Linked DNA regions of Callithrix jacchus. The main gene of each other region encodes a partner of the protein of the gene in region 2 in a complex. Links are inferred from orthologs where the notes say so. Each region holds a gene or a part of one and is shown on either strand. Other genes may lie near its edges.

Region 1 (4,169 bases), on a different chromosome or scaffold from region 2:
CCTCCTTGATGACACTCCAGATGCCTGCTGCAAGTCAATAAAATTGTTAATTATTCATTACTCAATTAATAACATGAGAATGAGAGTGCATAGTGACTACAAAGCATATATGTTTCCCCTTCTACAGTCATTTTGCTTTTTATTATCTCAGACTAGTTACTCTTGTCAATTGTGACTCTTGATTTAACTAATCCTTTCCATCCTTCATTTCAGGGTCTATTGTTCTGCTCTTTGCCACTTTTTTTTCTCTGAACCCGTTTGTGATTGGTGCAGCTGTTGAAGATGCTGCAGTTACAGCAGTGTACATCTGGAACATTTGGCTGACTTGTTGAACTTCCCCCAGGGAGTACTCCAGGAGAAGGATGGGAGGGGTGGAGAGGCCGGAACAGTTGCCTGTAAATAAAGATGCCAATGGTGTCTGGCTATTCTATGGACCTCCCTTGTAAAAATCCACCTCATTCTGACCCTCAGTTTCCTATCTACTCGCTGAAGGTATATGTTCTCTAATCAAAACTACTGCAGTGGAAGAAATCTATTCTGGCTGTGGATGCTCTCATACAGCATTTTCTGCATTGTACAGGGATCAATAGATATTTGTTGAGTTAATTAATATATCAAGAAATCCTAGGACAGTTTTACCCTTCATGGGACAACATCATTTCAGTTCCACTTGGCATGAGTCAGCTTCTCTGTCACTTAGATTGAGCTTTCAGAGAAGTCACTCCAGGAGTGAGGCTGCTTGAGTCCCACCCATTCCCATAGTTCCCAGGCTCCTAGGTCTCCTTTTCTTCGGGCGAGCCATTGAATTGCAAACACAGCAGGCATGGTTTCATTCCAAACCAAGAGCTGTTTTAATTAGTTTAACGTCTGTTAAACGCTTTGAAGATTGGAAGCAACAGATAAGTACTGGATGATGTTATTAACAACTGCAGTTAATTGCAAACATTTCTATTAATGCTAGTTTCTGCCTCCTTTTCTTTGCTCTACTTTCTTTCCAAGGTTCCCAAATTCTTAGCCTCCCCCTCCTTTCCTCCCAGAACTGGCGCTAAAGGGTTAAACTGGGGCGGAGTCTAGGAATGAAGGACAGCGTCAGTCACCAACTAGGACAAGGCAAGGGGGAAGAGCTGGGTGGGGCGGCCAGGCCGAGGCGAACTCTCACGCCCCAAGGCTCCCCCCACCCCCCCCCCACCCCCCGAGGCTGGAGGCCCGGCTGGAACGGTACGGGGCGGGGCGCCGAGGCAGGGCGGCCCCTTGGTTGGACGTCCCGGCAGCCGCTTGAGGGATGGGGCGGTGTCGGCCGGGACCTCCTCCTTCATTCCCTCGGCGGGCCGAGCCTCCCCTCTCTCCCGCCCCTCCTCCTCCCTTTCCCACCCCTCGGAGTGGAGCTGCACATGCGGCTGCTCCCTGCTCCGTCCCGCCCAGCCACCGTCGCGCAGGAACGGGTCCCTGCAGCCCCCAGCCGATGGCAGGGCAGTAGCCGCCTGTCAGAGGTCGTGAACGGCTGAGGTAGACGCAGCGGCTCCCGGGCCTCAAAAAAGTGGGTGTCTCTGGAGGCCATGGGCTCCCCGGAGATGGAGCGCAGGGAACCCCTGCCCGCGACAGCGCCGCGGGAGCGGGAGAGCCAGAGCTGCGGCTGTCGCGGGGCCCCTGCTCGGGCGGGCGAAGGGAACAGCTGCCGGCTCTTCCTGGGTTTCTTTGGCCTCTCGCTGGCCCTCCACCTGCTGACGTTGTGCTGCTACCTAGAGTTGCGCTCGGAGTTGCGGCGGGAACGGGGAGCCCTATCCCGCCTTGGCGGCCCGGGCACCTCTGGCACCCTAAACAGCCCCGGTGGCCTCGACCCTGACAGCCCCATCACCCGTCACCTTGGGCAGCCGTCACCTCAGCAGCAGCCGCCTTTGGAACCGGGAGAAGCCGCACTCCCCTCTGACTCCCAGGACGGGCACCAGGTGAGTAACCTAGTAGGGGTGGCGACGGCCCCCTCCCCTCGCGGGTAGGGCGAGGGCCCTCCACCAAAGGGGCCTGGGAGCACTCTGCCACCTCGACCCAATTTAGAGGGCAGGACCAGCGAGGGGCCAGGCGAGCAGTGGAGAGGTTGCCCAAGGCAGGTTGTCTTCGGTCCCTGGCCCAGCTAATCCAGACTCCCTGAGGACCCCTTGAGTTGGAAAGCCTAGCGCGTGCCCGCCGCCCCTGGCTGCGGGCTGCCTCGGGAAAAGTTGGCGACGCTCCCGTCGAGGAGGTGCCTGTGCTGCCCCCCGGCCGACTAACGGCTTGGCTCTTCTGCTCCTGATGAGGTTCTCTGCCCGCGGTGCTTGTTTTTTCGTGTCCAGAGCTGATGCCAGAACCAGCAGGCTCCGCTTTGGAGTTAGAGCTGTAAACAGCTGTAGTAACTGCTCCACGCCTGCCCGTTGAAACAACTTTTAACCGCATTTTCATCGCGGGTCCTTGTGTGCTGACCAGAACGTGGACTTGTTCACACTTACCTGCAATTTGAGACTGATTGTCCTCGGCGTTCTGGTGAGGATCAGCGCCCCTGAGGAATTCTGGTAGAAATATGCCGTCTTGCTAGACAACTTCTGAACAGCAATTTAAAAAATCTATGGAAGTAAAACTCACCCTTTGCATGCTGGTTCTGATTCTAAGCAGGGTAGGTGTGCAGTGGGAAGGGTGGGTGGGAAGTGCTTTTACTGCTAGCTTGAGACCGGGAATCTGCAAATGGAATAATTACTCAGGACTAGTACCCCAAGAGCACTTTGGGGTTTTTTTGTTTTGTTTTGTTTATTTTTGCAATCTTTATGGTGTTTGTGCCCTTATTACCAAACTATTAACTTTGGTGTTTGTTTTCTACTCTTTCTAGCTCTTTATTCAAGTAAATTTAGTGCACTTAACGTAAATATTGTCTTGGTTGCCATATGTGAAACTTAGGAGAAGCATCTAATGATCCTTTTGAGGTGGCTAAAGAATAATAGTAAAATTGTACCTCTTAGGGAAGAGAGCAAGTTGTACAAATAAGTTCCTTGAGGTGAGGGACCCAAGCCTTCTGTATTTACTGCCACATCCAGAGTCATTGTCACAACTCTGTAAACATTATTTCTACCACTTTGACCTCCCATCTAAAGTAGTACACTTGATAAAGGCATCACATTCAGGATAATAGTGTAATGTTAGGACTGATTCTTAAAACAAACAAACAAACAAAAAACCAACTATGTGCATTGTAAAGTTGCCCTGAGCCTTAAAATGTCTTGCTAGCACACTTCAATTTATATAACAGCTTATCGAAGAAGAGAATCAGCAGACATGCTTCTCATACTTGAAACTTTAAACACTGTAACTAAACGATAATTAACTAGGATTCTGACTCCTTTATTTATCTACTGCCACTCCCCTACACCCCAATGCCCAGTAGAAATATTTAGCAGCTGAACATTGATATTCTGTGAAAAGATGAAAGAATTAAACTTCTTCAGTCAAATGGTGGCCAAGACTTTTTGGCATTCCCAATGGACAGAGCCATGTTTACAGACTGAGGATTAGCAGAACAGCTGTACTCTAGGGCTTCTGTAATGGCATAAAACTCTTCCAGGTCTGTAATGGCATTTAGTTACCTGCCCTTTGTATGGCACTAAAATAGTTCTGTCTAGGTTTAAACACAGCTTCCTATCTTCTGTCCTTTATTCTTTCTGTTTTAATATTTTTGAGCAATAGAAGCAAGGATACTAGCTCTTTACATTTGTTGACATCAATTGGAATCCGTTTCCTAGAGTTATTAAGGGCTTATACGAGTTCATTTCATTTGATTCCCTTGGGAAACATAGGCCCTAAAGGGAAAGTGACTTGCCCAAGGTCACATAACTAGAGTCAAAACTGGGATGAAAGTTACTCTCTTAATTCCCATTTCAGTGCCCATTCCCCCAACTACCTCCTGGGACCTTTTTTGAGGGAGCAAGATGGAGCTCCATATTAGAACTTTTACAAAGTAGAGGGCTCAGATCTGCATCATTTTGTTCTACTCTACCTGTATTTTGACCATACTAAGTTTAACCATGTATTCCTTATTCTTCCTGAACTTCACTTTCAGATTTGGAGTATACTTTGAAGGAATTTTAGCCCAAATTCAACTTAAGTTTATTTTAAATTATTCAACTGAAGTTTATCTTATCTTGTATATT
Region 2 (3,500 bases):
TTTGTAGCTATTTTACCAAAATGTTTGAGCTGCTTCTTCACTCGGATGCCATCCTTCATCGTCCCAGTAGGGAGTCATCTCCCCCTGAAAACTTCTATTACGTTTTCCAAGCACCCCTTCATTCAGCTTGTTTGATGTCTTCCAGTGAAGTGGTTTGTAAACATATGTTCCTTCTGTCTTCTACTGGAGTGCAAACTCCTTAAAAACAGGGGCCAGATTCTTCACTTCTGTCATTCCCACGTGGTTTGGTTCATTTGAATTCTCAACATTGTCTCACTGTGCAATGAGTGAGTGGATATTGACTCTGCCTCGTGAAGTACAGGCAAGCATCTGAAAGTATTCCAGATCTAGTCTTTTATCTTTGGTTAGATTAAAAGACAGGCCTCATTTTGTCTGCCTCCTTGAACATCCTAAGGCATAGGATGACATATCACAAAACCCTTGATTCTTCGAAGTTTTTGGCACCACTCACAGCTCCAGAGCCCTCGTTAGATCCTTGGCTTGCCCTGGCAGGACAGCCCACAAGCATGCTTTTCAGGATGCAGCATGTGGCTGGGAGGCAGGGGGCACAACCCCCACCCACTCCAGTATGTCTGCACACAAGGACTCCACAGCATCCAGCCGCTCAATCTGTACCAGTTTTGTGAGCAGCTCAGGGATGCTATAACCTGCTGTGCTGATGCGGTCAAAGAGCTGCATGCCGTCTGTCATGCCCCCAATCTCATCCCTCTTCAGGCCGAAGCTCTCAGCGAGGTGGCGCCACGTTTTCACAACAGCCTTCTCAGAGTTGTACGTGGAGCTGAGCATTCGGCTAGTCTTCTCGAGGCAATCAAATGGCAGCTCTGTGGGGCTGAGACCTACAGACACCAATGGCCACAGTTAGATGTTGCAAGTCACAGTCAATAGAAGGTCAACACCATGAAAAATTATTTAAATGAAATAAAAATTATTTGGAAAATTTTTAAAATTGTAAAACAAAACACATGCAGAAAGCCACCTAAAACAAATGCATAACTTAAGGCAAACAACACCTAGAACAGTGCCAGCCCCAAGAGAAGGCTGTGCATGTACCCTAACCCCAGTAGTAGCCACTTCCCCACTAGGAAAATGACTGCTGTATTGACTATGATAGTAATCCCCTCATGACCATTTTTAGCAGTTCTCAAAGACTTCAAGACAAGTTATCCTTAGTTGGGTAACCCTGTCTCCTATGGGGCTGGGCTGAGGAAGGGGTCAAAGGGATGGTATCATGTCTCTTTAGGGAACAGTAGTCAACTTTATGGTGGGTGCTCTCAGTGATAGCCCGAGATTTGGGTTATCTGAACCAAGTCACTGTCAACTCAGTGGTCTGATGGTTCTCAGGCTTCACTGTACATTAGACTCACCTAGGAGCATTTAAAAAGTTGATATTGCTGCTTCTGGAAGATAAGAGTAGATAGAATTTTCCCTTATCCTCCCATTCTGAATAAAACAAACCCAAGAAGGCTCTGAAAAGTGGAGAGAAGACAGACCAACTAGGGACCTCGATATGGATGGGATGGTGGTAAGTTCCCTAGGTTTTCTTTTGCCTCATATATTCCAGACATGGGGCAGAAAAGTCCAGAAATCCAGAAATAATAGCAAGCACAGACAAAAACAGCCCCAACAGAAGTGTTCTCTCTCTAGTTAGAACACTAGGAAAAGAGCAGCCTAGCAAGCATGAAACATTTAGACAATAATTGCTCTATTCTAGCCAAACACCACAGAAAAAACTGTCCCTATTCCATCCAGGGTAGCAAAGGCTGAGTGGGGAGCCTAGACTTCCACCCTCACCAGGCTGTAACACTGTGCCAAGTGGTGTCAGGAAAGGCCATATAGGGAACTGGGAATTTCTCATCAACCAGCTGGTAACAACTCCCCTGTTCCTGTGGTGACCATGTCGGGAGCCATACTCCCAAATCTCAAATAGCAGTAAAAAGGAGCCCGCATTGCATGTCAGTGAAGAGTGAGTGGGGAATTTGGACATCTACCTTCACCAGACAATAGCAAGACAGCACCCTCATTCTCCTGCCACACAGCTATCGAAAGGAGCCAGCTAAAATAAAAGGCTTAAGTAAGACCCAGAGTTTTATATCAGGACATGAAACTGCACCGGTTTCAAAGTGAATGCACTCATCATACCAAGAACCAGGAAGATGTCAAATGAGTGAAAAAAGCAAATCAATAGATACTAACACTGAGATGACAGATGTTAGATGATCTGAAAACGGTTTTAAAGAAGCCATAATAAAAGTGCTTTAACAAGCAATTATCAACACACTTAAAACAACTGCAAAAACAGAAATCCTCACCAAAAATATAGAAAGCGTAAGAAAGAAATGAAAATATTAACTAAAAAAATACAATAATCACAATAAAAAGCTCAGTAGATGTGCTCAATGGCAAAATAAAGACAGGGGAAAGAATCAGTGAGATGGATAATGAAAATTAGAAGTTGAAATTACTCAGTCTCAGAAAATAAACTGAAAAACACAGAGCCTTAGGGAACTGTGGGGTAATAACAAAAGAGCTAACATTTGCGTCATGAAGTGTTAGAAGGAGAGAAGAAGAGAATGGGGCTAAATAAGTACTCAAAGAAATGATGTCTTAGAATTCCCCAAATTTATCAAGAGAAATAAGTCTACAGATTCAAGAAGCTAAGCAAATCCCAAACAGGGTAAACCCAAATATATTCACATCAAAATACATCACAAATGAACTTCTAAAAACAAAAGGCAGTCTTAGAAACAGCCAAAGAAAACAATGTCTGACCTAGAGAGGGAAAACAATTAGAATGACAATAGATATATAATCAGAAATCTGGAGGCCAGAGAGGAGTAGTATGGTATTTACAAGTGCTGAAAGAAAAGAACTTTCAATCCAGCGTTGCAGACCAGCTTGCAGTGAGCTGAGTGAAAATATTCTTCAGGAATGCATGAGAATATCAAGACATTCAAGTCAAAGAAAAATTAAGAATTTATCACCAGCAGACCTACCCGAAAAGAAGCAAAAGGAAATTCTATAAACAGAAAGGAAATAAAAGAATGAAACTTGAATCATCAGGAAAGAACATAGTGAGCAAAACTATGGGCAAATACAATAGACTTTCCTCCTCTTTTTAAGTTTTCTGAATTATGTTAGGTAGTTGAAGCAATTTATATGGTTATAAATATGTATAGAGGAAATATTTACAACTACTATAAACAGGGAAGATAAAGGGACATAAAGAAAGGTAAGGTTTTTATACTTCATTCGAATTGGCAAAATGATAACACCAGTAAGGCCAGGCATGGTGGCTTGTGCCTGTAATCCTAGCACTTTGGGAGGCTGAGATGGGTGGATCACCTGAGGTCTGGAGTATGGGACCAGCCTGGCCAACATGATGACACGCTGTCTGTACTAAAAACACAAAAAACAGCTCAGCGTGGTGGTGCACACCTGTAATCCCAGCTACTCAGAAGGCTGAGGCAGGAGAATCGCTT

What was found.
Region 1: the proteins of EDAR (region 2) and EDA are in contact, whole or in part, in a crystal structure (PDB 7X9G), measured with the Homo sapiens proteins. The link is inferred for Callithrix jacchus from reciprocal best matches to the Homo sapiens genes EDAR and EDA. Residues at the interface, in NP_071731.1 of Homo sapiens: Glu55, Pro56, Tyr57, Leu58, Lys78, Ile86, Arg88, Arg89, His90, Asp92, Glu94, Gly95, Phe97, Val134; in NP_001390.1 of Homo sapiens: Gln256, Ser258, Ala259, Gln261, Asp265, Asp273, Arg289, Tyr310, Tyr311, Lys340, Thr341, Tyr343, Ser370.

The regions. Positions count from the first base shown.
Region 1 is NC_133524.1:66,882,667-66,886,835, forward strand, and holds the start of EDA (ectodysplasin-A), read left to right. Parts: upstream 1-1,369; 5' UTR 1,370-1,556; coding exon 1,557-1,946; intron 1,947-4,169. UniProt on the Homo sapiens protein: Cytokine which is involved in epithelial-mesenchymal signaling during morphogenesis of ectodermal organs. Functions as a ligand activating the DEATH-domain containing receptors EDAR and EDA2R. May also play a role in cell adhesion.
Region 2 is NC_133515.1:20,220,784-20,224,283, reverse strand, and holds part of EDAR (tumor necrosis factor receptor superfamily member EDAR), read right to left. Parts: intron 858-3,500; coding exon 535-857; 3' UTR 1-534. UniProt on the Homo sapiens protein: Receptor for EDA isoform A1, but not for EDA isoform A2. Mediates the activation of NF-kappa-B and JNK. May promote caspase-independent cell death.